Notamacropus eugenii: one gene and its partners. The main gene of each other region encodes a partner of the protein of the gene in region 2 in a complex. Links are inferred from orthologs where the notes say so. Each region holds a gene or a part of one and is shown on either strand. Other genes may lie near its edges.

Evidence for each region.
Region 1: the proteins of LCK (region 2) and CD8A are in contact, whole or in part, in an NMR structure (PDB 1Q69), measured with the Homo sapiens proteins. The link is inferred for Notamacropus eugenii from reciprocal best matches to the Homo sapiens genes LCK and CD8A. Residues at the interface, in NP_001036236.1 of Homo sapiens: Cys20, Asn22, Cys23, Tyr25, Pro26, Ile27, Val28; in NP_001139345.1 of Homo sapiens: Arg212, Arg213, Val214, Cys215, Lys216, Cys217.
Region 3: the proteins of LCK (region 2) and CD4 are in contact, whole or in part, in an NMR structure (PDB 1Q68), measured with the Homo sapiens proteins. The link is inferred for Notamacropus eugenii from reciprocal best matches to the Homo sapiens genes LCK and CD4. Residues at the interface, in NP_001036236.1 of Homo sapiens: Glu15, Ile17, Val19, Cys20, Asn22, Cys23, Tyr25, Pro26, Ile27, Val28; in NP_000607.1 of Homo sapiens: Ala429, Arg431, Ile435, Leu438, Leu439, Lys443, Thr444, Cys445, Gln446, Cys447.

The regions. Positions count from the first base shown.
Region 1 is NC_092872.1:725,236,857-725,247,108, reverse strand, and holds the start of CD8A (T-cell surface glycoprotein CD8 alpha chain), read right to left. Parts: upstream 4,512-10,252; 5' UTR 4,370-4,511; coding exon 4,315-4,369; intron 4,107-4,314; coding exon 3,738-4,106; intron 2,042-3,737; coding exon 1,931-2,041; intron 820-1,930; coding exon 712-819; intron 1-711. UniProt on the Homo sapiens protein: Integral membrane glycoprotein that plays an essential role in the immune response and serves multiple functions in responses against both external and internal offenses. In T-cells, functions primarily as a coreceptor for MHC class I molecule:peptide complex.
Region 2 is NC_092876.1:77,611,280-77,620,699, forward strand, and holds the start of LCK (tyrosine-protein kinase Lck), read right to left. Parts: upstream 4,576-9,420; 5' UTR 4,421-4,575; intron 1-4,420. Other genes in the region: protein FAM167B, read right to left, coding at 7,326-7,601, 8,480-8,728. UniProt on the Homo sapiens protein: Non-receptor tyrosine-protein kinase that plays an essential role in the selection and maturation of developing T-cells in the thymus and in the function of mature T-cells. Plays a key role in T-cell antigen receptor (TCR)-linked signal transduction pathways.
Region 3 is NC_092874.1:195,111,347-195,121,360, reverse strand, and holds the start of CD4 (T-cell surface glycoprotein CD4), read right to left. Parts: upstream 4,139-10,014; 5' UTR 3,867-4,138; coding exon 3,809-3,866; intron 1-3,808. UniProt on the Homo sapiens protein: Integral membrane glycoprotein that plays an essential role in the immune response and serves multiple functions in responses against both external and internal offenses.

The DNA of each region.
Region 1 (10,252 bases), on a different chromosome or scaffold from region 2:
TGATTCCATCCCAATCACTGCATTTATACAGTGAGCATCCTATCTCTCTGTCAGTGCTCCTTGAGGGTAGAGGTTTTTGTTTCTGTTTCCCCAGGACCTGTCACAAAGGGATGGGAATGAGATCTTTTTCACTCACCTCCCAGGGAAGGAAAATCCCTCTCCCAGTGCAGATCAGCAGGTATCTGAAGCCTAGTCTCAGAGAGTTGCCTGAGGGCACCGAGAGTTTAAGTGATTTGGCCAGGATGGGTCAGAATATGAACCCACGTGTTACTGGCTCCCAGGCCAGGAACTCAATCTGCATTTTAATATGGCAGATTGATTGTGGACTCTACTTGGCTAAGTCATCTCTAAACTGGTGATTTTTAGGGCTTCAGGAAGATTCCAAGGCCAAATAAAGCCTTCCCTCCCAATACCAGTCCTGGGGCTTCCCATAGCTGAGCTCTAGGCAAAGGGGTGTGCTAGTAAGAGCCCTGTTTGGGGGAATCAAAAGACATGGGTTTAACTCTCAGCTCCCACTAGCTGCTTAACATTGGGGAAGAACACTCTATGATGCAGTGGGGAGCATTATGGACCCAAGGGAACTGTTTGGGGATGGAGTGAGGGAGTCATATCTATGCTTCTGGAGTTCTGGGGACCAAGCAGTTGCTCTGCGAGGAGGAAATGTGTACTGGAAGTGGATGGATAGGTATGGAAGGAAGGGTTGCTTCTTACTCTGGCAGATGGTAATGGTAGTGATCAGGGCCAGAAACAAGACAACACAGACGCCAGCGAGGGGCACCCAGATGTACAGGTCACAGGAGAAATCCAATCCCTTCTTTCCTGTATACACAAAACAGAGGGAAACTCAATGAGACATGTCAGATCCTGGTCTTCCTAACCTTGTCAGGAAGCTGGGTGTCAGCAGAGGATTTGGGAGAGCACCACCAGAATGAAGACAAAATCCAGGAGACCAAATAGGAATTCCCTCTGAGTCGTAGGGACCCAGGGTCAGTCCCCAGCCTGCCTGTCTCTCTGGGAATCCTGCTAGTTAACTCTGTCTTATCGCATCTTATCTGGCCAAAGATATTCTTCTCTCTAGAATTTAGAAAAGGACTGGTAATTTCTTCTCAAGGAACCCTGTTCCTCAGTAGTGGTGGAACCGAGCAGGACACACTTCTCACTTCCCAGTGTGATTGTCCTTGTTTCTGTAAACTCTCCAATGCCTACATAATAAAGGATAAACTCCTGGTCCTGACAGTCAAAACCATCCCTCCTCGTGTTGTACTCTCCCTTCTGTGGGTCTTTGTAGGCCATCTCTACCAAGGCTGGAACAGAAGCCTCCACATTTCCTGCCTTCATCTGTTGAAATCTCTTTTCCTTCCAGGCTAACTCAGACACAACCTCCTCCAAGAAGCCTTCCTACCAGTCTCTCCCCACCCTCCACACCCTGAAGTAATTTAGTCACCCCACCCTCTAATATGCAGAGCCCCTCTATGGACTGATCTCACTCTGACTTGTATCATAACTGTGATAAAAAGTGCACTTAACCATTCTCTCCCCTTACTCCAAAATAGATTATAAGCTGCTTTAGAGCAGAGGCTGCATAGCAGCAATGTTTTAACCTTTACTGCCTAATGTGGTACTTTGCACATAATAAGAACTTAATAAAACATTTGTTGAAATCCCCATGCCCTTCATTTGCGAATGTCTTTTGCTTCCTGCTAGGGCAGCACTGAGGGCTCTGAGAAGGGGGATAGAAGACAGGAAAGGGTAAGCAGATAGAGGTGGGGATGTACGTGGTGGTTGAAGTCCAAGTTTTTGGTCCAGGGTCTCCAACTATAGTGCTAGGTTGGCATCACCCTCCAAATGCAGTGAGAGATGTCAGGGTTAGGCTGGAACTCCCTTGACTAAGAAGTTGGGAGAAGAGAGAAGGTTGGAGTTATTTCTTCACCTTGTTTCTTGGCGGTAAGCTTGCAGTTTTCAGAAATCTGGGTGGAAGTGCTGATGGTGGCTGGAAGAATGGTGGTCTTGGGTTTGGGTGCAGGGGTGGTGGTAGCCTTTACTGGGCAGAGACAAAAAGGAGGAGAGTGAATCAAGTTGATCTGTATAGCTCCCCCACCTCTTAATCTTTCCCCATCCTTTAAAAGTACAAATCATTCTCTCTCTGATCTTTATCCCCAGGCAAGAAACACTCGCCCTCTATTCTCAGTTGAATGCAGAGATATAGGGCAGTGGGCATCTATTATCCTTTTGCAGAGCCAAACAGTCCCAAGTCCTGCTCAGGAGTCCCTCTCTAACACTCTCCCCAGGCTGGGAGCAAAGGACACATTAGCACAATTCCATCGGTCAATGGAGGACATTTCTGCCAGCACCCATGCGCTCAGCACCATTCATAAGACAAGAAAAGAAATGGAGTCAATTCTTGCAGTTTTCAGTTGACAGGTTGGCACTATCTAGGGATGGAGCAGGGCCTTTGTGTTTCTACAGGTATAGAGGCTGATTTTTTTATCTTTTTGCTATGAATGAGTCATCCATATATCTGTCCTTATCCATATTATATGTGTGTGTGTGTGTGTGTGTGTGTGTGTGTGTGTGTGTGTGTGTATTCTTGTGTTTAAAAACCCAGGGGCAGAATAGCATGCTCTGGGAGCAAAGAGCAAGAGATCACTGGATGAATTTTAGGTCAAATAGTCTTGGGTTCTAATCTGGATCCTGCTCTGAGCAAGTTGCTGGACCTCTCTGGGTCTCAGTCTTCCTCTCTGAAGCACTCTCTGAGAGTGGAGAGAATAGGAAAACCACTTGGGGCTTGGAGTCAGAAGCCCTGGGGCTTAGTCCTGTTCCTAGCTAACTTCGGTATATGACCTTGGAAAATCAATGGAAGCCCCAGTTTCCTCATCTTAAAAAGAGGGGTAATGACATCTGTGGTACTTAACCTCAGTTAGTTACATGAAATGATACACAAAAAATACTCTCGGAACTTTAGAATACTTAGATGGGCGTGAGCTCATTATTTTAGAACTTTGACTTCTGTGATGCTGATTATAACCCGACCCATGCCTACTCATCCTGAGCCACGCCTGTCCTGGTCCTCCCTTAAGTTCGCCACAGGGCCTCCACTCATTATACTTTCTCTTTATGTCGGAAAGGTACAAGGTCCAAACTTTAAAAGGCTATCTTAATGTCAAGCATTTATCATTATTGAAGTTGTTATATAACTTTTCTCCTAATGTGTGCATGGGGTCTATCTGGGTCCCCTTCAATTTAGTGGGGATCGGGTGGGGAGGGAGATCTGGAGATCTGGTGATACTAAGGAAAGTTGAACTACTGATGTCTCTAATAATAACAGTGCACATTCATTTAGGACTCCAAGGTTTGCACAACCCTTTGCATGTATTAAAGGTTCAAAGATGTGTAAGTAGAAGGAATCTTAGATGCATCCATTTTACAGAAGAGGAAAGTGAAGCCCAGATTTTTTGAATTCTGTTAACCCTCAGTACCCAAGATGTTCCGAGTCACTCAGCCCTGAACGCTCTCCCCTAATGCCTTGATTTCCTGGGGGCAGGACTACCCACTGGTATTCTGGCGCTGCTCGGGAGGCTGCCCCGCATCCCGGTCCTATGGGAGCCTCGGGAGTGCCTGGGACAATTCCCACCTCTACTGCACCCGTGCGTGCATCCATGCGCTCTCCCGGGCGCGCGGAGGTAGGGGCAGCCCGGTATTCAACCCTCCCCGGACCCCAGGGATGACCAGACCCTGACCTGGCAAGAAGACCGGCACGAAGGGGCTGAAGAACAGCGCCGAGTTCCGGGTGACCACGCAGTAGTAGTAGCCCTCGTCCTCCTCTCTGAAGTTCTGCAGGGTCAGGCGGTATGTGGAAGACGAGATCCTTTCGCCCCGGAATCGCTTGGGGTCCAGGTCTTCGGCCAGCTTCGCGTTTGAGCTAGTGCTCGAGATGAAGAGCAGAAAGGTAGGGACCACTTTTCCAGGGGCCAAGCGCAGCCACGAACATCCCGTGGACGAACTGCTCAGCGTCTCGCACTGCAGCTGCACCTTGTCGGATGGCCGGACGTCCCGCTTCTCCAGGGGATTCATCCGGAATTTCAGCTGTGCCTGGGACCCGACGGACTCTGGGAAGGAGAGAGCAAGAGACTGGGCAGAAGAGCTAGAGCCCCATGGTCCTCTGCCTGGGACTCCCCACACCACCAGGCTGCTCCCTCAGGGTTCCGAACGCCCGGAATGCTTCCCTCCCCTCCACCTCCAGGTTGGCATTGGCCGGGATGTTCTGGGATGGACCCCGGCCAGGTCACAGATTCTGGGCTCCTGTTGGTTACTCACGGAGCAGTAGGGCCAGCGGCAGGAGCAGGGATCGTACAGCCAAGAGGGAGCCCATCCCTAGCTCCCTTGCTACTTCCCGCCGGGCCGGAGGGCCGGTGAGCAGTCTCCCTAGAGCTGGAAAGCTGGGCAACTCCAGGTAAGAGAAGGGGGGCCCAGGGTGAGGAAGCTTCTCTCTCTTGCTCTTTGGAGATCGGAGGATGTGATGTCATTTGATACCCCACAGAAAAAGAAAAAAAAAATCACTCTCCCTGAGCTGGCCACCTCCCACCTGCATGTGGTGGAGAGCTGAGGAAAGTAAGGGGAAAGAGAAGGAAAGAGGGCAGCATATGGGGCTGAGCTGTGGGAATCCTTCGGAATCATCCATTGGATCCAGTCTGGAGCCCAGGACATCTTTCATGGGCAACGGGAGAAAGGGGCAAATGGAAGGCTTGCGATGTGTGTGCGGAAATCGTTTGGAGAGGCCTACCCTTAATTTGTGAGCTGACTTGATGGAGAGGAAGGGAGAGAAGAGATGCTCAACTCAATTCAACCAACACTCGTTGAAAGTTAACTATACACAGAACACGGCCTCCGGAGGGTGGGCTGGGGTGGGCCAGGAGCAGAAGCACAGTCCCATTTGCGTGGAACTTCCTTACAAAGTCTTCAAGGGGAAGAAGGGAGAGGAAGTGAGAAAGAGAGGAAAGTGTATAATGGTACCCTTGGACTACTAACGTTGGATCAGAGCAGAGGTCCTTAACTTGAGGTCCATGAGTAGATTTCAGTATGTCAGAACCTCCTTGGGTTTGGGGGAGGTAACTTCTCAATTTCTTTTAGCCTCTAACTGAAACTTAGCATCTCCTTCAGTTACGAAAGTAGGCAACAAGGGTAATTATGAGAAGAGTTCGATGGACTTCACCAGGATGCCCAAAAGGCCTATGACACTCAAAAAAAGTTCAGAAATCCTATTCTAGAAGATCATCCATTTAGAGATGCAAGAGGAGCCTTGAAGGCCTCGTCCAGCTCCCCTCATTTTAAAGAGGAGGAACAGAGGCCGAAGGGTTAAGTGATTTGCTCTGTCACAGAGCTAGTAAGGGTCAAATCCTCTGACTCCCAATCTAAACTTTCCATTGGACTACATTACCTCAGAGGTTAGATGATAATATTTCTTAAGTCCCTGCTATGTGCAATGGATCATAGTTTCAGCCTTTACTCCTAGTATAGGGTTTAGATTTTAATGTCTTCCTTTCTACAAATGGCATAGGGATGCAATGACTGGTACTTACTATGACTCTTCTCAAGGATGCTATAAGGGGTTGACTGACTGAGCAAATTATATATTTACCCACTGCCATGTGCCAAACACTATCCTCTCCTTTAGAAATAGAAATAGAAAAAGTAACACAGTCCCTAATCTCAAGGAGCTTCTTTTAATGGGGGAGACAAAACATTTAGAAGGTTTCATTTGCAAGTCAAGTGGAAAGACCACACAGCCTTTTGGGTGATGATGCATCTCTACTTCTGTCATTTTCGTGAATAAAACCATATCCATTTCTGATGTTGAGCCATTTGGCATCGCCAAGCACTTTGGTGGTGAGAACTTTCTTTTCTGGGTCTTCAGTAGCTGTGGCTTCAGATAAAATTCTTGTTTCTCTTGGATGACAGGGTTTAAAAGTCTAATAACTTCTGTGTGTGTTTGTAGATCTGTAAAACCTAGGGATGTTTTCTGTCAGGTCTAGGAGCTTTCCTTTAGGCTAGAATGAGATTGGAAGAGGCACACTTTTACCAGAGCTCTTATTTAGAATCATGGAATCATCAAATTTGATATATTATTATAATTATATTATTATAATATTATATATTATTATTAATATTATAACGGGCTTTCCCCGCAAAGGAGTCTTTTACTCCAGTTGGGGTGATCTGGATCTCCTTACCTTGGGCATAACATACACTTTCCTCATTCTGGGTCTCTGTTCACTTGGACCGTCTCCTCCTGTATCCCCTTTTATCCAAATCCTGCTCCTTCAAGGCCTAGCCAAAATGCCATCTCTTAGAGGAAGTCTTTCTGGATTTCTCCAGCCCATTTTGGATTGATCTCTCCTTTCTCTGAATGCTGATGAATATTGAATGGTAATTAGTGGTAACTGGTGTCATTGCTGCTGACTGGTGGAGTCCAGGGTTTGGGGACAGGTGCAAATGCCCAAAGATGGAAGATGGCAGGCTATGCACAGGGAAATGATTTATAGGTCTATAGAGTGTGCAAAGAGAAAAAAACGATGTCTGGGAAGGTGTGCTAGAGCCAGAGTGTGAAGGCCTTATAATGTCACAGAGAGGAGTTTACATTGTATTCTGGAGATAAGACAAAAACACTACTGGAGTTTCTTTTTTATATGGTACAGTATTATTTTCATTTATTTTTTAAATGATATTTTATTGTTTCTTCCCAGTTACATGTAAAAACAATTAAAAACATTTTTTAAGTTGTAAGTTCCAAATTCTATCCCTCCCTCCGAGACAGTGAGTAATCTGATATAGGTTATACGTCTGCAATCACGTAAAACATTTCCGTATTAATCATTTTGTTCAAAAAGGCTCAGAAAGAAAGAAATGAAAAAAGGAAGGAAGGAAGTGAAAAATAGGATGCTACAGTCTGTATTCAGATAACATCAATTTTTTCTCTGGAGACAGATTGCATTTTTCATCTTGAGTCCTTTGGAATTGTCATGGATCATTGTATTGCTGAGAATAGCTAAGCCATTTACAGATCTTCCCACAATGTTGCTGTTAACAATGTCTCCCTGGTTCTGCTAGCTTCATTTTGTATTAGTTCGTGTAAGTCTTTGCCATTAGAGTTTCTTAAGCAAGGAAATCATGCTTGTGCTTTAGGTATATATCAGTTTAAATGCAGTGAGACGGAGAATTGGAGAGGAGAGAAGTAAAAAGTTAGGAGGTTATTGTCATAGTCTAAGAGAGCTGGAGATCTATAGGGGTTGGCTTGTGGGTGAGAAAGGTGGAGGTTGAATAAGATTTGTCAACCATTGTTTGTGGAGGGCGACTGAGAAAAGTCCGATGACTTTAATATATGTCATGCGTAGGTCTTAACTTCCTACTGCTGTATTATAAGCCACCTTAGGTCAAGAACCCTCTCTTATCTAATTTTTAAAATCTCTCCCAGTGCCCATCTTGGAGCACTGGAAATGTTAAGTACTTAATAAATGTCTATTGATTGAATTCATAAATGCATATGTGAAAATGACGATGATTGGAAAACCATCTAAGTCAGTAGTTTTTGCATAGCTACCAACCAACGGCAAAGTCATTGGCTTCCTCATTCTTCTGGTAGTGAATTTAAAGGATTTAGAGCTGGAAAGGACCGTAACTACTGTCAAATCCAATCCTCTTATTTTACAGATGAAGAAATTGAGGTTTGGAGAGATGAAACGACCAAGGACCTGAGGTAGTAATTAATAGATCCAGGATTAGAACTCAGGTCCTCTGATTCAAAATCCAGGATTTTTTTGCACTCTGCCTGGCTGTCATCAAAGGAAAAGTAATAGCTCACATTTACATAGCATGTTAAGTTTTACAGAGTGCTGTACATACATAATCTCATTTAACTCTCTGGGAGGTAGGTGCTAGTATTACCTCCATTTTAAAGATGAGAAGACTGAGGCAGAAAGAGGTTAAGTGACTTGCTCAGGGCCACACAGCTCCTAAGCCTCAAGCAGGATTGGAGTTCAGGTCTTGGCTCTCTCTTAATGGCACTTTCTGGCTGCCTCTCATGGGGTTCTACAGGACCAAGCAACCGCAGGAGTCCTTTGTTGTTAGGCGGCCACAAGTGAATTGGATCGGTCTCTTTTCTGACTGGATCAAAGTTGCCAATGAAATCCTAGATTTCATTGATGGAGTTAAGCAATTGGATTCAGTGTGAATCAGAAAAACAATCTACCCAAGGTCAACAGTAGTATAAAGATGAATAACAAAGAGAAGCAGAATTCTGTCATTGTAATGACCATCATTGCCCAGGAGCCCCCGGAAGAAAACACATCTCTCTCCTTTTGGTGGAAAGATGGGAAGATTTAGGGGTGAAATTTGGTCTACATTGTTGGACCAGCAATCTTGCTGGTTGACTTCATTAAATTGTTTTTCTCTGTTAGAAGAGAGGCATCAGAGCTTTGGTGGGTGGTAGGGTGGTGGATAAAGAAATGACTATGACATAAAAACAGAAAACAACAATACGCTTTGGTTTTGGATGAAACCTGCCATTTTTTTGGGGAGGGGTGTGGGATAGTCTCAATCTGGAAATTCCCTCTACCAAATGCAGATCTCAAGCTACTCTGTAAAACATAGCCTTAGAAAGTTGCCTGAGACCATGAGGAGTTAGATGACTTGCCCATAGTTGTGGGGTCATCAATTTAGAGGGAATCAGGACCAATCCCCTCATTTTATGGCTCAGGAAACTGAGGCACAGAGCCTCTAAGTGACTTGCCCAGGGCAATACAATTTGAGCACCTGAGGCAAGATGTCTTTCTGACTCCAAGTCTAGCATTCTACTCACTGACCCACACTGTTTTACTCTCTCTTCAACACTCCCTGCATTTCCACAAAATAATAAGTAATTGAACTTACTTAAAAAAAAATCAAGATTCTTTATGATGCCTAGGGTGAGAGATGGGGAGGGGATGGTAATACACTATGAAAAAGTAGACATCCAAGTATCAGCCTCCAGGAAACCAGCTGCAGCTGCCTAGGGTTTCTTCCATCCTTTGAGCTCAGAAAAGGCAGTCGAGCCCAGGCAGGCTCTTTGTACTGAGCTACAGTGGAGGGGCACAATTCGAAAGGTGGGTGTCAATCCCACCCAGGTGGTTTCATGACCCCAATGATATTTGTGCCGATCTCAGTGGGGTTTCAACAAAACCACAGTGACTTCCTCCCTGTGAGAAGCATGCAGATGCTGTTAAGTTGTGCATGGAGACCCTGACACACTGCAGACCAAGATGTGGACTTAGCCAAGTCTTTCACTTCCCAAGTCAGATGAACTCACAAGACCCATATAGGACCATGGACACAACGTGATGGGGAAACAAAACCAAATTGCATGAGACAGACTGATGGCTTGGATAACATTCAGGTCAATGTAGAGAATCACAGAAACTCAGAGTTGGGAGGGTTTTCAGCTAGTCTCAGGTATCATGGGGCACTGGAGACCATGCAGTGTGTAGAGTTTGGAGGACCTGGTTTCTAATCTCAGCTCTGCATTTATTATTTCTGTGGCCTTGGACAGTCTATCTAACCTCAAAGTGTCTCACTTTTCTCATTTGTAAGATGAAGTTTGGACTCAATCAATCAACAAATCTGAATACCTTTTATGTGCAAGGCACCACATTAAGTGATTTGGATGTAAAGGCAAAAAGGAAACTGTCCCCTACCATCAAAGAGTTTATATTCTATTGAGGGAGACAACAAGTATTGTAACTATGTGAAAAATACATCAAGATAAACAGATAAGTACAAAATAATAGTGGTGGTGGGGGGAGTGTTAAGTAGCTGGAGGGATGAGGAAAGGGCTCATGTAGAACACTTGATGACCTCTAAGGGCTTGTTAGCTCTGAATCTATGATCCTACGCCTTCCAAGATCATCTTTAACTCTAGACTCCATGGTTATTGATCTAGGTCCTGTTCTAGGCTGAGAATTCCCTCTACCACACCATTAGTTAGTAGCTAGCCAGTCTTGGCTTAAAGATGTCCAGAAATAAGACTCCTACTACTCTCTGATGTAGTTCAATACAATTCTGGACAATTCTCATTATTTACAGGGTTGGCAATGGAAAGAGTTCCTTACTTCAAGCTGAAATCTGCCACTTTGTAATTTCTACTCACTTTGGGGCCAAGCAGAAAAAAGTTAATCCTTCTTTCCATATGCCAGACCTTCAAACACTGGAAGACAAAATTCTTCGT
Region 2 (9,420 bases):
TGTCTACCTACATATGGGTAGAACTCTGTTAGTGGGGATGAATGTGTAATGTGTTTATTTTCTTAGAATCTTCAAGTTGGGAAAGACCCCAGGACTGTCTAGTTCAACCGATGTCAGAATAGAAATTCCTTGAGTCTATGTAATGTGGTTCCAATTCTATGTGTCTCTGTAGTAGTTTGCATGTATGATGTAGCACATGTGTGCTACATTGTGTAGCACATGTGTGCACATTGTGTAGCACACAATGCTACATGTCTGTGTTTGTATGTGTGTGAGAACCATACATGGAGTCTATGACTACATATAGATGTATGAGTATGTGTAACTAGAGGTATCTGGATTGTGCATGGTTGTTACACATGGGTAATTACGTGTTACGCATATAGCAATTACATATTTGTAAGTCCATGTGCCTGTGCTTGGGAAGGAGAGTGTGTGACTCTGAGGTGTGTGCTCCTTTGTAAAAAGAATGCCCTTAGGTGAGAGCTGCTGGCACTTCGAACCCTTTGCCTTCAGCTGCTTTCATCTTGGAGGGTTCCCAGTCTGATGTTGAGTGTTCTCAGAGAATATACACAGGAAGCAGCTTCAGGTGCAAAGCAAGGCCTCTAGTAGCAGCACATGTGAAGGGGGAGGGAGAAGAGAAGCCCTGCTCTTAGTGGGGGTGGAGATGGGGGGCAGAGTCTTCCCTCTGCATCAGGGTCCTACTCCTGTTCCATCTACCTTCTCTGAGAGCCGTGTTTCATGCTGCTCTAACACCCAGAGACCTGGTTCTCCCACCTTTCCAGGGGACTCAGGCCCAAGGAAGGTACCACCAACCCTAAGGAATGTAGCTGGGATGGTGGACTTCAGTCAGGTAGGGAGGAAAGTCTGTGACCCTGTCCTGCCCTGTCCTGCCCTGTCTTGCCTGAGGTCCCAACAGAACCAAGTTCCACTGCCCCCCAACTTAGTCTCTTCAATACACTGAGGATGACAGTTGGAAGGCTCTTCTCCCCAATCCCTACCCCTATCACTAAAGACTCACCTTGCCCCCTGCCCCATCTGATAGGATTCATAGTACATAGAATGTCAGAACCTAGAACAGAGAAAGCAAAATCTGGAAAGTCCTTAGTACACCCAGACTCCAGGCATTTCTCTGGCTGTCTCCTCATCTCCACCTCCTGGCTTCCTTCAAGTAGTAGATGACATCCTACCTTCTGCAGGAAGCTTTTCCTAATCCTTCTTAATGCCAGGGCTTTCTCTCTGCTAATTATCTCCTCTGTATCCTATATGTAGCCTGTTCGTACAGAGTTATTTGCATCTTGTCTCCCAGAATAAACTATGACTCTCTGAAAGCAGGAATTTTGTTTTTCCTTTCTTTGTTCTTTCTTTGTTTGTTGTTGTTTTGAAAGGCAATCAGGGTTAAGTGACTTGCTCAGGGTCATGCTACTAGTAAGTGTCTGAGGCCAGATGTGAAATCAGGTCCTTCTGACTCCAGGGCCAGCACTCTGATCACTTGGCTGACCCTCTGCTTTCCTTTGTAGCCCCAGCACTTAGCACAGTGCCTGGCACATGGTAGGTACTTAGTAAATGTTTGTTGACTGACTTACTGATGGCTGAGAGGGGCTTTAGAATCCACTGTCTCAGAGACAGAAGAAATCTTAGAACATAGAATATTACAGGACCATCAACTACTAGACTTAGAGTGAGGAGGGAAATTAACGGTGCCCTTGTCCAACTTCCTTATTTTACAGATAAGGAAAATGAGCCCTTAAAAAGGGGAGGGTTTTGCCTAAAGATTCCCAGAAACTAAAGACAGCTGAGCTTGGATTGGGTGCCAGGCCCTGTTCCTCCAAGTCTGCTGCTCTCCCCATCATGGATCCCCAGAGAGGCCCATGTCAAACACACATGAACAGATACATTACTTCAAAAAATTCCGTACAAGGTCATTTTTGCCCCTATCCCCAACTTGGGAGAGGAATACTATTGGCGATAGTAATGGCACCATTAAACTACTGTCCCTTCCATATTTCTGTGGTTTATGAGGCATCATCTCTGTGACTGCTTTCTTATGCCAGCACTCTCATCTCCATTTTATCAGTGAAGAAATTCAGCCTGGCTCCCAGAGGAGCGATGTTTGGATGACTACTAAAGGTCTGAAGCAGAACTCAGACCCAGGTTTCCAGGTCCCCAAGTTATATTATATCTCTGTGGAAATTGTGTTTTGAAGAAAACTCCAGTGGGGGTGGAGAGTAGGCAGGGAGCGCCCCAAGGCAGGTGGCACTTCAGAAGAATGGGTAAGAGAGGGGGCTTCCCCCTGCACCCCAAATTGTTGCCCTCTATCCCCTGAAGTTTCATCTTGCTTCTTCAAGACTTGGAAGGTGTTTGGTTTTTTTCCATCACAACAGCCTTAGGAAAGGGTGGGGGAATTGTTCAAAGATGATCAGAGTAGTCACAGAGGTGAGGCTTAGGAACACAGATCACAGATTAGTTTTTAGTACTGGAAAGAACCCTGAGGTCATTGGGTCTAACCTCCCTCATTTTACAAAAAAGGAAACTGAGCTCCAGAGATGAGGAGTGATTCATCCGAGGCAGTTAGTGGCACATTGGGAATTTGAACTCAGGTCCTCTGACTCCAGATTCATACTCTTTCCTCTATACCACAGACTTGAACCCACGTCTCCTGACCTGTCCAGAGTTCTCTCTTGGTTTGACTTAGGAGACAGATGATGATCATGGGTGTGGGGCCAATGTTCAACTGGTCTAGACAGCAAGCCTCTCTGAAGTTAGGCCTCACCCAGGGGAGAGAGATGATGAAACTCTCAGTAAGGTAGCAGGCTGTGGCTTCTGCTAAGACTGTCCTTGGTGGGGTAAAAAGGTTGAGGAAGGAGGAAGGTTTCGAAAGGCCACTAAGAGAAGGTGATAGAAAATCAAAAGGATTGCACACAGCTTGTAAGGCCCAGATGAGATCAGATAACTTTAAATCTCTGAGGCCCTAGGAGGTTTGGTCCCAAGACTTCCTTAGCCAGCATCCAGTGGAGAAGGAAACTTTCCATAGGAACTCCAGGGTCAAGCTCCCACTGCCAATCATGCCCCTCATCCTTTCCCCACACCAATTTAAAATAGCTTTTCTTCCTTCCTTTCCTCCCTTCCTTTGCCTGGCCCTTTGGGGCCGTCTTTTCATGAAGAATCTCAATCCCACGTCAGAAATCTTCCTTGACATGAGCATCCAGGAAGCTCGGATAAACCTTTCCCTCTCACAGAGAACTCTGGCAGCAAAAGTCACTGGAGTGCCTGGTTCTCTTTCCTACAGAATTCTGACCCCATCAAGTCCTTAAGCTTCCTGATGGAATTTTCCTCCATTCATCCAAATGACCCAAGAAAATAAAGCTCTGGTTTCCTCTTGCCTCCGGGATGATGAATCGAGAACTAAGAGAGCTTAGGGGCCTTCTGACACAAATCCCTCATTTTACAACTAAGGAAACTGGAGCCCAGAAGAGTTAAGAGACAAGGAAATGAATGTCAGAGGCAAAACTTGAATCCAACTTATCTAAATCCTCTCTCCCTTTACCACATTGGGAGAAGTGCATTGGACAAAATGAGGAGGCCTGGGTTGTAACCTCATCTTTGCCACTAATTAGCCATGTGGCAACTCCTTGCTCTTTTCTGGGTCTTAGATTCTACCAAATGAGAATCAGTCTGAACTAGACTAGACGGTCACCAAGTTCTAGGAGCCTACAAATATTCATTAATAAGGCACTTGGGGAATTCCCAAAGGACTCTTCGCATCTAGTCTCACCCGATCCAGACAAGGGGTCATTTTAGGTTCCACCTTATTATCTACTCCCCTCCCAAGACACTAGATACAATAAGAACCTTTCTGGTTCTCTTCCCTCCAGCAGTTGGCTCCTGGTCACTCTTGTGACAACGTCCCTGTTTGGTTTGAACCCAGCTCCTCTGTCTCCAAATCCATCTCCCCTGCTACCCAGTCAATATTCAGGGACTTCCCCAAACCATTCTTTGAGGAGGTAACCTTTGCCCCCAGGGCATCTATGTATGGAGCTGGCATCAGGATGTCCAAGGGTTGCATCACAGTGACTGTGTGACTATTGTTGGAGTGCCCATGGGGTGGTATCAAGGTCAGGGGGGTCCTCAGAGACAAGTTGGGAATCTGTGGGATTAGGGTAGAGTCACTGTGGGGCCTGTCCATAGGGCCAATGCCCGTGTGCCCCATGGCAAAGTGATACTGTGACACCCACAGAGCTTGTCAGGGTGCCCATCAATTAATGTCACAGGTCTTATTAAACTAGCTTTCCTCAATGACCAGATAGACAGAAGTCTGAAATTCTCTTAAGACCTTCTCTGGTCTTTCTTGCCCTCACCTTAGGGGCTGCTGACCTTTCCCTTTGGAAGCTCCCGTAAGCCCCGTGCACTCTTTCCTTACCTGCCTGATATGTTCACTGAGCCTGGTTCACATGGTCCTTCTTGTTCAGAGGCCCCATCACCACCCAGAGGATGGATGAGGCTCCCAGCTCCTTGTCGCTGCCTCAATTTGCCTTCTCAGCACCCAGCCCACGTCCAACCCCAACTTCCTGCCTCCTCTTGAGAGAATGAGTGAGAAAGAAGGCGGCAGCCAACCCCAGAACCCCAGTCAGGCCCTCCCTCAACCACAAGCCAAGAACAACAGTGCCAACCACACCCCTCCCAACATCCAGGGGCCTGATAGTAGGGAGCTGTGGTCACAGAGGGTCCCAGGGAATTCCTAGTATCCGTGGGTGGGGAAAGAGGGGGACACACCATAGAGAGCATTTGATGGTGAAGTAGAAATTGCCCTGGATTCGGAGTCAGAGGACCCAGAATACCTCCCTATCTCTATTACTTGTTAGCTGTGTGACTTTGGGTAAGTCTTGTCCCCTCTCTGGGGCTGTCTTCTATAAAATAAGCTGATTGGATTAGATCAGGGCTTCTTAGCATTTTTTGTGTCATGGACCTCTTTGGAAGACTGATAAAACCTATGGAAATTCTCAGAATTTGCATTTTTAATCATCATTGAAGGAAATGATAAATTCCACTTAGAGGGTAGTAAAAAATAAAGATGGTTCTTTCCCATCCAAGTTCATGTACCCCTTCTTCCCTCCCCCTGGGAAATGTGGTCATGTATCCATCCCATGGTAGTCTGGTGACCACAGGCTAAGATGATTCCTAAGGATCTTTTCAGAATGAAAAGTCTGGGGTTCTGTGAAGAAGACGCCATGGGAGCCCATGGGCTGAAGAGGTGGGGGGTGAGGGAGGACTCACAAAGGGGAGTAATCTCCCCCTCCATCCCCACCCCCTCCTCCACATAGACCAATTTGCCATTGGCTTGATGTGTGATCTTGTCTCAGAGTTTCCTTTTCCATTTTTGCAAGATAAAGGAAATAGAAATCAGAAATTTAGAGACGAAAGATGACATGGGTCATCTAATTCAAACCATTTGTTTTAAAAAGATGAGGAAACGGTCAACAAGTCAGTCAATAAAGATTTATTAAGCACCTACCACGTGCCAGATAGTATGCTAAACCTTGCGGATATAAAAAGAAACAAAAGACAGCACCGCCTCCAGGGAATTTACAATCTAACAGAGCCAGAGGAATTGTCTCAGATTGTCCAAGTAGTCAGTGGCAGAGCGAGGATTTGAACCCAGGTCCTCTGATTCCAAAATCCACATATTTTCCACTGTCTCACCCTACTTCCTTCAGACTAGATGGTCCCTAAGGACCTTTCAACATTTTATTTTGGTGACACCAAGTGGACCCTAGCAATGCTGTGGGAAAGATGTCCATCTAGGTTCACTGCCAACAGAAGATGGGTATCCAAACTCATACACCAGCTCCTTAAGGGGCAGAGATGGACAGTCTGATGACTGTGCCCCAGCTAGACCCAGTGAACCCTGCCATGGTTGAACCAAACTAGAGTGACCCATTCCTGCGACACAAACAGCTCCCACCCCTTCACCTTGAGCCAAGCTGTGAGGAAAGGGGAGGGGGATGGGGACAGCAGAAGAGGATGCCGCAGACGTATTGTTGGGGTTTGAAAGGTGGAAATTGATGCTGGTTCTGCTCACCTCAACTGAGGCGGGTGAGGAGGGCAGGAAATGGGGGAGGGAAAGGAAGCCAAAGACAGAAAGTAAGACAAAGAGATGTGAACAGCAGAAACAAAAGTTACAGAGGGACAGAGAGAGAGAGAGAGAGAGAGAGAGAGAGAAAGAGAGAGAGAGGGAGGGAGGGAGGGAGGGAGAGAGGGAGAGAGGGAAAGAGAGAGGGAGAGGGAGAGGGAGAGGGAGAGGGAGAAAGAGAGGGAGGGAGAGAGAGGGAGAGAGAGAGAGGGAGGGAGGGAGAGAGAGGGGGAAAGAGAGAGAGAGAGGGAGGGAGGGAGGGAGAGAGAGAGAAGGAGGGAGGGAGGGAGAGAGGAAAGGAGGGAGAGAGAGAAGGGAAGGGAAGAAAGAGGAGAAAGAGAAGAGAGAGAAAAGAGAAAGAGGGGGGAAAGAAGAGGTTTAAGAGATAGAAGAGAGAGTGACAGAAAGGAGAGAGAGGAGGAAGAGGAGACAAAAAAGAGAGAGGAGAGAAGGAGAGAAGAGGGAGAGAGAGGGGGAGGGAGGAGAGAGACAGAGACAGAGACAGAAAGAGAGACAGAGATGGAAATACACTGAGAAACAGAGACCAAGAAACAGACAGCCACACACACACAGGAAAAAAAGCCAAAAACCAGATGACAGGAGAAAGAACAGACACAGAGCTAAATGAAAGAGAAGAGTTGAGGACTTCTGGGTCAGAGACATGTTTTCCTCCCTCAAAAACATGCACACCTGGTGTCCTCGATCTTTCCTGCAGTGACATGGAGCACTAGATCACACCAGGGAGTCTGTTTGCTGGAAAGCCTGAGAAAGTGTGAGTGTTCCTACTACAAGCCCTGAGAGCACTCCTTTATCTAGGTCAGGGATGGGGAACCTGAGGACTTGAGGTTACATGTGGCCCTCTAGGTCCTTAGGTGCGGCCCTTTGACTGAGTCCAAGTTTTACCAAACAAATCTTTTTATTAAGGGGATTTGTCCTGTGAAGTTTGGATTCAGTTAAAGGGCCACACCTAAGGACCTAGAGGCAGGTTCCCCACTCCTGATCTAGGTAGCTGGAGAGCTGACTCTGGGAAGGCTGAACAGCTCTCTCCCTCTCTATAGGCAGTGAGTTATGGTCCCTCTGTGCCCTGGGTGACTGCATCCCTCAGATCAGGGGTAGCAGAGCACCAAGGTTTAGGGTGGGACACCCCTGTGGGAGAGCAAAGGATGCTCAGCTGTGTGCAGCAGGGCCTGCCTGCTCAGCAGAGGGTGAACCGACGAGCACTGATGTTCATCCGGGTGAGGCCGATGTCCCTGAGTGGGGGCGCCAGGAGGCGAGTGGGCCGGAGAGAGCCTGGGCTCAGGAGCTCCGCTGCCTCTCCAAAGCCTAGACACTCAGCTTCTGCCTCCAGTTCAGCATCATCCAACAGCTCCTGGTGCTGCCTGCAGATCTGTTCCACCTTTAGCTGGTGCATTCGGGACCTGAGGCGCAACAGCTGCCCTGCCAGCTCCCGGTCCTGGGCTCGCATCTGCCTCTGGGGGGAAATGATTGAGGCTGGGGATTCAGGGCCCTGGCTTCCTGCCCTTTATTTTGGGCTGTGGGCAGAGGTGTCTCTATCCTGTGCCTAGGCAACTTGAAACGCCAACATTCTATGACCCTGATCCTCTCAGTCCAGCTCAGCCCTTCCTGGCTCCTCCTTCCTCTCAAGCCCAGCACTACCCTCTCCTCTCCTCTTCCTCCTCTTCCAGGAAAGATAATAATAACTCCTATCCTATGGCCTTGGAGGATTTATAAAGTACTTCCTCTCCACCGTCAGGGGAGGGGAGTGGTTGGGACTGGGACCCAAGTCTTCCAACTAACAGAGCTATTTCCCAGCCTCTTGAATAGACTCAGGGACTCATCTCTGTCTGTCAACAAAGATTTATCAAGCATCTACTATGTACAAGGAATCAGCCTAGGGGAAGGGGAGCCCCACTCTTTTATTGAATATTGCATGACTGAGGACAAGGCCTTCTCTCTCCTTACCTCCACTGCACCCCAGACTTCAGCCTCCCCTAAGTCCATAGGGAACTTTGGATCATAGACCAAGAGAGGGAAGAGATACTTAGAGATCATCCAGTCCCTCACTTGACAGGTAAGGAAACTGAGGCCCAGGGTGGTGAAATGATTTGCCCAAGGTTCCACAGTCAGGGGAAGAGATTTGAATGAGGTCTCTAGCTCAGAAGACAATATTTTTCACATACATTGCCCCATGCTACCTGTCCCAAAAGGGCGTCTGCCCCCAAATCCTGAAATTGTAAGGGCAAGGTTACATTCTCCTCCTCAGCTGGGGCTTCCCTTTGTGTGTCTCTCCCTTAGATGGGGGCTCCCTGACAGTGAACTACTCTTCTCTATCCCACACCGTAGACTTACCAGCTCCTCTCTTAGCCACTGCAAGGCGTCATCCAGAGTGTGAAAACCACAAATGGCTCCAGATTCTGGTTCCCGCAGTTCAGCCCTGGCCTGATCTCGGTGCCAGGCTTGGCTTTGGACCCTGGCTGTCCACTCGAGGTATGAGGGCCTTCTGGTCTGTAGATTTAATTTGGCAGTGAGTGCCTTCAAGTTGTCCAGGGTCTCCTCCTCCTCACCCAGGGCCCCAAATGCCAGGGACCCCAGAGACATGGTGATGGCTGTTCTGGTGGGACCAGAGAGGTGTGATGTGTTTGTCTGTCCCTCTTTTGAGGGGGACAGATGGTTAAGTATCCCAAAGTAGGAGGTAAGTGTGTAAGGTTGAGTGTGTGGCTTATTTCCCTGGAATCCTGTAATAATGGGAACTCACGTGACCCCCAGAGGAAAGGGATGGGGCGTTGGGGGAGGGGAAGCAGGATCTCAGTTTCTCTGGCCTCAGGGTCAAATTTAATTGTCTCTGCCCAAAAGGAGACACCCTTCTCTCTGAAAGGAAACTTCTACAGGGCCAGGGAGCCACTGGGGACATTGGCTTTGCCCTTTGGCATCTATCTACTTCTCTTCCCACCTCTCCCAACCAAATTGAGCGGGTGCCACTGAGGGAGACATCTCTAAAACTCAACTTGATGCTAGGGCAGAGTGTGGAGTCCCAAGCTAAATCAGGGGGCAGAATGAGGAGTCCCAGCCTGGAGGGTGGCAGAATGTTGGATCCCAATGAGGGAGTAGAGAGTGTGGGATACCTGGCTGGGGGTCACAGAGATAGTAGCCCAGATTTGATGGAGGTAGAATGTGAGTTCCTAGTCTAGAGAAGGACAGAAGGCTGTGAAGGCTATGGGGTCCAAGCTGGGAGGGAGGAAATAAATGTATGGGGTCCATCATGGAGGGAGGCAGTGGGAGATGCTAGCTGG
Region 3 (10,014 bases), on a different chromosome or scaffold from region 2:
GCTGATAGTGTACATCACTTTCAAGATCATTTTGGCAGCCAATGAACTGAAGTGGGCGCATACGTGCACACAAACACAAGAGTGGCCAGATCAGTATCCTAAGAGAAAAGATCTCTGTCAGCCATCTCCATTTTCCACTGTTCCACTTCTGTATCCTTCCTACACCCCTGCATTTCCTTACTAGAAGACTTCCCCCTGCCCCAAACATTTCACCACCCCCAACTTCCTCAGTTCTAGGAAAGAAGTAGCATGAACCTGGTTAGGGGGAGGAAGTAAAGGGGGAGAGTTGAGGGTAAGGAAATAGCAAGAAGAGGGAAATTAGTGGCTTCTCTGTTTCCAAACTCTAGAATAGGAGAAATGGCTTTCTGATTGCTCTTTATGGATCTTGGGACCTTGAGAATGCACTTGACATGGAACAGACAAAAGTCCAAGCAGAACCAGGTTCATCCTAATTCATGAACAAACATCAACCACATTGAAAGGGAATGTTATGTACTCAGAGGATATGAGTTCAAATCCTAGCACTACTACTAATTAACCTGTGTGACCTTGACCAAGTCACTGAATTTCTTTAGACTTCATAATCCTTATCTGTAAAAATGAGGAGAGTTGGACTAGATTGTATATAAAATCCTTTAGGCTCTAATTTCTGCGATTCTATGTAAACCATTTCCTTCACACTTCTCTGAGAAGGTGCTAAGGGACTGAGACTGACAGCTGGGTTGAGGAGGAAGCTGAAAAAAATGAACTGATCGTACCACGAAGTCTTGATGCATGTAACAGGAACATTACTGAGCATTTCCTTAAATTTAAATTTGAGCTGGGGGACTTTTGGCCTTGAGGGAACTTCTTTCCAGGGAGAAAGAGGAAGTATGGGTCATGATTCTCTTTGTCAAGCTCAGAGGAATTGTGACAAATATACTGGCCTTTATGCTACCTGAAGTAGGGAACTACAGAAGTGAGACTGGGCATGAACAAAGGAAAATCAAACTCACTGAGAACCAGAAGCGACAGAGCTTGGTAAAAAGGATGCCTAACCCACAGCTTATTTCTCTAATTTTCCTGCTTCCCTTTCCCCCACCAACTAGTAAAGATAAAAGGGAGGAATAAAAAACCTGCCACCCTCCTTCTCCCTGCCTCAAGTTCTATGGTGGCCTGACATACCTTATTTTAAATGCTTTGTGATCCTGATTTAAAGTTTGTGGACATTATGATTCATATCTGCTAGACTATTTATGAACCTGGAGAAAAATTTAGCAAGGAAAGAAGCCTATAAGCAGGGCAGAGTGGGAGCTGGCAAAGGTACCTTGGGCATCCACCCACACCCATAAGGGACCATCTACCCTCTCCAATCCCTTACTGGAAATTACAAACAAAGGGAATGGACTATAATTGGGGAACGGTTAAACAAATTGTAGTACATGAATATAATGGGATATTACTACACTGTAAGAAAGAATTCATTTGAAGAATACTGAGAAGTATGGAAAGACAGTGAACTGATCCAAACTTAAGTAAGCAGAATCAGGAAAGCAATATGCATAGTGACTACAAAAATATAAGAAAAGAAACTTATTGCTATGCAATTATAATGACAAAGCTTGACCTCAAAGAAGAGATATGAGAATGTACCTCCCTACCTTCTTTGCCGAGGTGGGAGACTATTGATGGAGAATACTGTATGTAACAGCCAGCTTGGTTGATGTGTTGGTTAGTTTTGCTAAACAGCTTTTTCCCTTTGTTTATCGCTTTTTTTAGAAGGGTTAGTTCTCTGCATGGGGGAATGGGAGAAACTTATTGGGAAATGATGATATAAAAACAAAAGATATCAATAAAAATTTTTAAAAATAAATATTACAACTATTCTGCGCAAGAAGAGGTTGAATATGCAGGTACACAAAGACTTGCACATAGTAGACACTGAATGAGCATTTGCCAAATGAATAAATGAGAGTTGAGAAGGGCTGAAAGTAGGTCATTTGTAAAATTGGTATAGCACTGAGAATGGGGCCTGGGGCAGGATGAAGGAGAGAAGGATGGATATTGGATGCTAGACAGGTTGTGGGGGAGGGAGGAAGGACTTTCTAGTTTGGAGATTGCCTCTTTCCTTGCCTCCTTTCATATTGGGCTATTGTCTTTCAGCCCTAAATCCTCCCCGTTCTGGAGTGGGGGGTGCATTTTCTATTCTCTTTCTAAACCTGCTCCTCCCCCACCACAGAGCCCATATTCCCCGGATCTGTGCAGGGGTTGTCTTCTCTTCTGTCCCACCTCTGGGTCCAGGGCTCACCAGAGGCTAAGGTTTTCCAGCTGCTTGTTTGCCTTTGCTGAGCGCCTGGAGCTCACATTTCCGCTGACCCTGGGAGGCCCCAGAGAGAGGTCTTTGATTCTCACAATCACCAGCCACCATGGAGACAGACTCGACATCCTGTGCCCCAGCGCTCCTCACCCCTTGTGAGAGGTGTGTGCACAAGCTTTGGTGTATCTAGCCCAGGGTCTCTACAGATCTCCCTGTATGGCCCTGAGTGTATCTGCCTGTATCTATGCTTTATGATACTGATACCTAGAACTCTCTGCGACTGCATTTCTGTCTCATACTTCAAGAGGCTGCGCCTCCCAGCCCCTCTGCTCCATTCTTAGCAACCTCATCTCTGGCTGCCACTCTGTTCTTTCTTTCACTTGTCTGTAAACACCATCCTGTTCCCTAGCAGGAACCCAGACATTTGGTAAGCTTTGATCTGAAACAGGTCTTCGAACTGAAAACAAAGACCACCACCACCACCACAACAACAACTTAAAACTCCACCATTCAGATATGAGTCTAGGAGGTAGAGGGCAGGGGAGGCAACAAAGGGAGGGGGTGCACATGAACAAAGGGACATATGGAGAGAGAAATAAGGAAGTCTAGGGAGAGATAAAGATAGAGAGCCCCAGAGCAGCTCATTAAAACAATTGATATACATACATACATCACACAATGCATGCTCAAGCCCCACGCAGTCACACACTCCAAGAGCAATTGAGACTAACAGAAAGAAGCTGAAAGAGAGAGAAGAAGAAGAAAGAGAGGGAGAGAGAGAAAGAGAGAGAGGGAGGGAGGGAGGGAGAGACTTTTTAATCATGGACTGCTGCCTCATTACTGCTAATTTTGAAGATTCATGGTGTTCCAAGATGGAAGAAATGGGAGAAAACAAAAGGGTTTGGAAACTAAGGTGGGAAAAGTCAGAAAGTAGAGGCCAAGATCATCAGATAAAGAATGGGGACTAAAATGGAAAGGTGTAGAAAGAGCACAAGGAAACAGAAGAGATAATAAAATGCACACGTTTATGTTTTTAGAAATATTTGTACACATAAGTAGAGCTCTCCAGATTATCTGACACTATGTCCCCAACCTCTGGGGCTGGGAGAAGGAGGGAGCAGGTTTAGGGGAGAGAAAGAGGGCTCTACTTCACCACAGCATCTGTATATGATCCCACAGACACTTTTATCTCCTCCCTCTGACCACCCACTTACCCCCTTACCCCTACCATAGGATGTGCCCCCCATTTCCCTCACACACCAATATCAACCACCTCCCCCTTACTGGTTACAGTTAAGTGAACTTCCTAAACACCACGATCCCTCTGAAGGGATCTTTGTGGTCTAGTTGCTGCAACCTCTATCATCCTCTCCTTTGACTCTGACACCCACTTGAGGGGGGTACAACTCCACCACCACCACCACCACCCCCTCATACCCTACGTAGTCCCCAGAGGAGCCGTGCAGAGATCAGCTCCTTCTTCCCCTCAGCCCTGCTGTCCCCCACCCCCACCTGATTTGTGCCTCTCAGCAAAGGAATCTGGTTTCCCATCCTGTGGTCTGCCAACCATTCCATCTCCCCTTCCCTTAGCAACAAGGCCCAGGCTACCGTTTCAGAGGGGCCTCTTTTTCAAAGGTTCTCCATTTGAAGCCAGAGGTATTTTGTACTTAAGATAACCTCCAAATTGACCTCCTCCACTCAAGGGAGCCATCCATTCTGCTTCCCCACCTTTGCTTACCACCACCCCCACCCCCCATCTGTGTTTTGTTTGGTTTTTCTAGAGGGAGCAAAGGGGAAGAGTTCTAAAGAGTTTCTAACCCTGACAGGGGAGGCCTGATAGCAGCCATTTTGTGTCTAGTGGACAAAAATCTAGCATTTCATAGGAAAATGAGCCTAAGATGAAATACTTACTTCCAATCCCTGCCTCCCCTGTTCTGTACTTTCCAATCCCCCATTTTGTTCTGCCCAGGGGTTCATCTCAGGTAGATTCAGAACCCTAGGCTATTAAGTCCTAGTCCTGACCCTATTGTAAAAGCAGAGTAGACCTAATTGAAATGAGAGAGAACCCCGAAATAGGGAATATGGGTGTTCCTTGTTGCTCAAGAACAGACTTATTCTCCTTGGACTCCCTCCAGAATAAGCCTGTTAAAAGAAGGCAAGACTGATGATGAAGCAAGCATACTGACCACCATCTGACAGAGAAGTAGGGGACTTCAGGAAAAGACTGAGATGTACATTTCCAGAAATGCCCAAAGAGTAGGTTTGTTTTGCATGATACGACTTATTTGTTATAAGGGAAGGTGTTTTGTTAAATGGAGGAGAGTGTTAGAAGAGAAGAGGGGGACTCTTGATCCTGATGCCAAAAGAAAGAAGACCAAAAAAAAAGGTAATTGTAACATTTTTTAAATCATAGAAGAGAACAGAATGAGGTTCTGAAGGAGAAACGGACAAGCATAACAATAGCTTTGAAACGAATATGTCGAATTTATTGTACTTTTTTAAAAAAGTTAGTATATATAATAGATTCATGATTTCACATGTAATCCTCTTTTTCATGAAAATATTGGTAATTATTCATGATCTTTCAACTTCAGAATAACAAAAAAAATTAAAGTTAATTTTTTAAATGGAGTCAGGAGAGGAACTGAAGAGTATCAGGGCCTCAGGGACTGAGCTAGCTTCAGTCTTGACGAAAGAATTAGGAAGCAGAGATGGAAAGCTGTTGCTTTGTAGGAACCAGCTGGGGAAGAAGCCTAAAATCACAGAATTGAAAGCTGGGAGAGCTGTTTATGACCATCTAGTCCAAAGGAGGCAGTGGAAAGTGAGGGATTTGGCATTCATAAGCTGGCCCTGCTACCAACTACCTGTTTGAACTTAGTCAAAAGCCATTTAATACCTCTCTGTCTTTCATTTTCTTGTCTGTAAAATGAGGGGATTCCATTAGATGGCTTCTAAGGCCCCTTCTACTTCTGCATCTATGATCCTACAAACTTCCTCATTTTATAGGAAAGGAAATTGAAGACCTAGAAAAGTAAATAAAGTGTTTTGCTCAATATCACAAAGGTAGTAAATAACATTTGAATCCCAATCCATCAGTATTTCAATCCATCAGTGTCTTCACCACACTATGACATGTCATCTTTACCACTCCAAAACCCAGAAAGAATGGCGATAGAAGCAAGTGACTCTCCTTTCTTCCTCTCTCCTCTCCTCTCTCCTCACCACTCTGTGTCTTTCATTTGCACCTTCTCCTGCCCTACCATTCCTATTTTTTTCTCTACCTCCTTCCTCCTCAATCTTAATTCCTATTTTTTCTTTCCCTTTTATCACCCCTTCATCTCCTGTTTCTTTCTTTGCCTCTCCTGCCCTGGAAAGTCCTTGATCCTCCATCTTCATCAGTTTCCTCACCATTTCTCCAGGCTTCAGTTTCCTTATCTATAAAAGGGTGAGGGAGAAAGGGTAAATTTATCATTTTTAGGGGCTTTCCTAGCTCTGAATCTATGATCCGATGATACTTTCTTATTTCCCTTACCTACTTAAATCCTTTGACCTGTGAATGAGAAGTGGAACTCCTATCTATCTTACCTCAAGTTGCCTTTTTTTTTCCTCCCCTCTTGATCAATATCTGGTCCACTGGTTCGTGCAGGTGTGTCCTCATGAGAACCTGGAGCTTTTTACCCAGAAATACAGTAGGAAGGGTTTTGCCATCTGTCAAGACTGTAATGGAGTGATAAAAGACAGGAAATCCGTCAGTGAAGCACTCTCCAAACTCCTGGGCCTAGCTTAACCCTTCACGTCATCTCCCTAGTTTGGGTCCCCACCCCTCATGACCTCTCAGTATTCAGGACTCAGAGTGAAATGTCAAAATGAAATAGCTTGAGTCAAGGGAAAAGCTGACCAAATGAAGAACAGAAACTACATTTATCAGAATTTCTACCAAATTGCAAAAACATTGGCAGTGTCATTTGGACTGGGCTTCCAGGAAAATGAGAATTTAGGAAGAGAGGAACATAGGCATGTGGGAATAAGAAAAGGAGTTAGGAACATCTCTAGAACTATCCCAGGGTAAATGATGGGCCTGTGGACTTATTATATGATGATATGCCAACTGACTTAGTATTTTTTTACATTTTACAGAAAGGTTGTCAACAAGGCCAGTCACATCAAGAAGTTGCTTCATAGTTAACATACCCAACCACTCTGTAGAGGCCATCCCACGAGGGGTCCAGAGGACCTTTCTGGACCTGATGCTTCACTTCTTTCATCACAGGTTGTCTAAGTAGACCAAAGAATATATTGATTGCTTCCTTTTCCTGGAAGGTGGGAGATATGAGAATGCTTTTACCAGGGCTTCTGGGAAACTTTTTAATAACGGACTACTGCCTCATTACTACTAATTTTGAAGATTCATGGTGCTCCAAGATGGAAGAAATGGGAGAAAACAAAAGGGTTTGGAAACTAAGGTGGGAGAAGTCAGAGAGTGGACCCTACTCCTAGATCCTCAAGTTTTCCTTGGGCCTCAATTAACATTGACACAGCTAACTGAAAGAATTTTCAAGCTCAAGATTTAGGCTGTTAGAGAGGAGATAAGAACCTGTCAGGAGATAAAGTAAAGGGCCTTCTTGTGCAGCTGTCTGTATTTGACTCTTTACCAAACACAGTTTGGTAGTAGCATTGCCTAAGTTCCCCTGTAAAGGCTAGAGTGAGAGATGATGGCTAAGACTGGGACAGATGGGGAGGATTCCTTTAGCATCACCACGAAGAGCTGATCCTGATTCCCTCAAATTCTGACTTTTTTCCCTCAGCACAAACATACACCTCCTTTTGAACAGCACTTGATACTTTCCCTGTTCTTAGGGCCTCCCTACCCCTCCCCCATTATAGATCTGAATAGTTGAATGCAGAAGATCTCCACATGGTTGAGGCAGCTGACACCTGCAGCTGTGGCAGAAACTGTCAGTCATGAGGGAGAATGCAACAAAGAGAGCCCTCTCCTCACGTCCTCAGAAAGATTTCCTCATCCCCAAACTGCCCCGCTCCCCACCAGAAGAGATGATGCTCATTCTCTGGGAGAGGACAGGAAGCAATAGGTTTTTGCCCAGTGACTCTGACCTGTGAGGGAACCCTGTATTTTAAAAAAATATACTTGCACTGAGGGAGAGGAAGCCACAGTGGCCTAACTCTCAATCCATGCTTTAGGATACTCAGTTTCAGTCTCCCCCTGACTAGTCCTTTGGCAGTCAGATCTCAAAATGGAAGGTTCAGGGGCTGGACAAAGTGTCTGAGTGTCTGAGGACCTTACTAACTTACTGAGTGATGATGCTCACTCTGCTTCCAGTTTACTAGATACATGCTGGTTAGACTCCCCCACTGGAGTCATGGAAGGAAGCCAGAAATAGCTAGAAAGATTGATGAATTCATTAGCATATCCCCTGGCCTGTTTGGTGTATTCAAAAGGGCCTGGGATCTGCTTATTCTAGCCCAAGGAATCGCCTAATCAACTTGAGCTTACAAGATGGTTAGCCTTTGACTACATCTTTCTACGGAAAGTATGACCATATTCTTTGGCACCTCATGGAAGATGGGTCTCAGTGACTGGGAAAGAATTGATTGGCTGGGATTGTTATGGAAGAAACTACCTTCTTTGGGTTGGGCTTATTAAAAAGAGCCAACAACTTGTTTTTTTCCATTTCCTGAGCACAGTTCACGGACCACAGGTTTCTTTTCCCACTATCCCCTTCCATAATAGGCAGCTCCAGAGACAGCTAGGTAGCAAGGTGAATAGAGCACTAGTCCTGGATTCAGGAAGACATGAATTAAAGTCCAGCCTCTGCTACTGTGTGACCTTGGGCAAGTCACTAAACCTCAGCCTGCCTCAGTTTCTTCAAGTGTAAAATTGGGATAATGATAGCAGCTACCTCCTAAGGTTGTTGGGAGGATCAAATGAGATATTTATAAAGCATTCAGCACAGTGACTTGCACATGGTGGGCACTTAATAAATGCATTTTCTTCTTTTTTTCTTTTTCAGGCTGAGGAAGTTTTGGCATCTTTCCCCAAACCTCAAGGGAAAACCTGAAGGTAGAGCCAACATGGTGTAGCAAAGACAGGGACTCACCTGAACTCTCCCCCAAGCCCCTCCAAAAACCCTTTAAGATGACTCTAAACAAATTCTGGAGCAGCAGAACCCACAAAAAGATGGAGTGAAACAAATTTCCAACCCAAGACAACTGGGAAGGTCAGCAGGAAAGGTCTGTTGCAACAGGGTCACAGGGGAAACACAGTTCAGTGCAAGCCACACCAGTACAGACCCAGCCTCAGCAAACCTGGAGCAGGTCTTGGAGCTATTGAATCAATAACAACAGTGGTGGTTTCCAGATCTCTGAGCCCACAGATGCCAAAGACAACTTAGAAGGTCATCAGGAAAGGTCTGTAGCACCAGGGTAAGAGTCGAATGCAGTTCACTGCAGGCTGAACCGGTACAGCCCTGGCCAACAAATAAGAGGCAAGCCCTCGGAGCTACTGAATCAACAGTGGAAGCAGCAGCAACTACCTCCAGAGGTACTGATGGTAAGGGGGTCAAAGAACTGGTCAGAAGTCAGGCAGAGGACACTTTGTTAGCACTGAGGCAGGACTCTGTTGCTTTGCCCTTACTCAGATCCAGGTTCCAGTCCTGGGTAGAAATCCCAGGGCAAGGAGGAGCATTAGCATAGCAGAGCTTGTGGCCACAGTAGAGCAAGGACCTTCTTTCAGCTCTAGGACAGAAAAGAGTGCTTGTGGTCATTCCTAGACCATAACACAGGTCAGGAAAGTGGTAAATTTCTCTCCTCAGTTCATGCTACCTTGGAAGAACTGAAAACTTTCAGGTCACTAGAATTATCTCTGAAAACAGCAGCACAAAACCCCTAAATCTTGGGACAGTGCACCTCCACCCTGGAAGCAGAAGCCCACTTTAACAAAAGATTAAAAGTCAAGTAATTAGGCTTGGAAAATGAGGAAGCAACTGAAAAAAAAAACTCTGATTCTAGAAAGTTACTGTGGTGACAAGGAATATCAAAACACATACTCGGAAGACAACAAAGTCAAACTCCTACATCCATAGCCTCCAAGAAAAATATGAATTGGTCTCAAGCCATGGAAGAGCTCAAAAGGGATTATGAAAATCAAGTAAGAGAGGTAGAGGAAGAATTAGGAAGAGAAATGAAAATGATCTGAGAAAATCATGAAAAACAAGTCAACAGCTTGGATACACAGGTTCAGGAGGATCTGTAGGGGCTGTTCTTACTTCTCTATTCCATCTAGGATCAAGCCCCTTTTCTCAGTACATTCTATATAGTTCATTAGTTAGTATACCATGTATGCTTCAAAAAATCAACTCCTGCTCTCAATAAAGCAGTAAACAATCATTTTCTTGTCATTCTATTCTGACTTGGAATCTGCTGGCTATTTACTCTTCTCTCTTGAGGAAATGTATCCTTTCCCCATTCTCCTAAGTCACTTAGCTGTGAAATCTTGTCCAGCACTCCCGAAAAAGGGTTCCCCATTTCCCCAATTATTAGAGTCAAAACTAGGTGTTTGTAAGCAGGAGGAGCCATCTTCACTATTATATTCCTATGAGAAATTGCAAAGAGGGTATCATAGTGTGCATCTGTGCCTCCCATCATTATGGCAGCCTTTATTACCTCCTCCTTTAACCTAAGTGAATGCAAGCCACATCAAT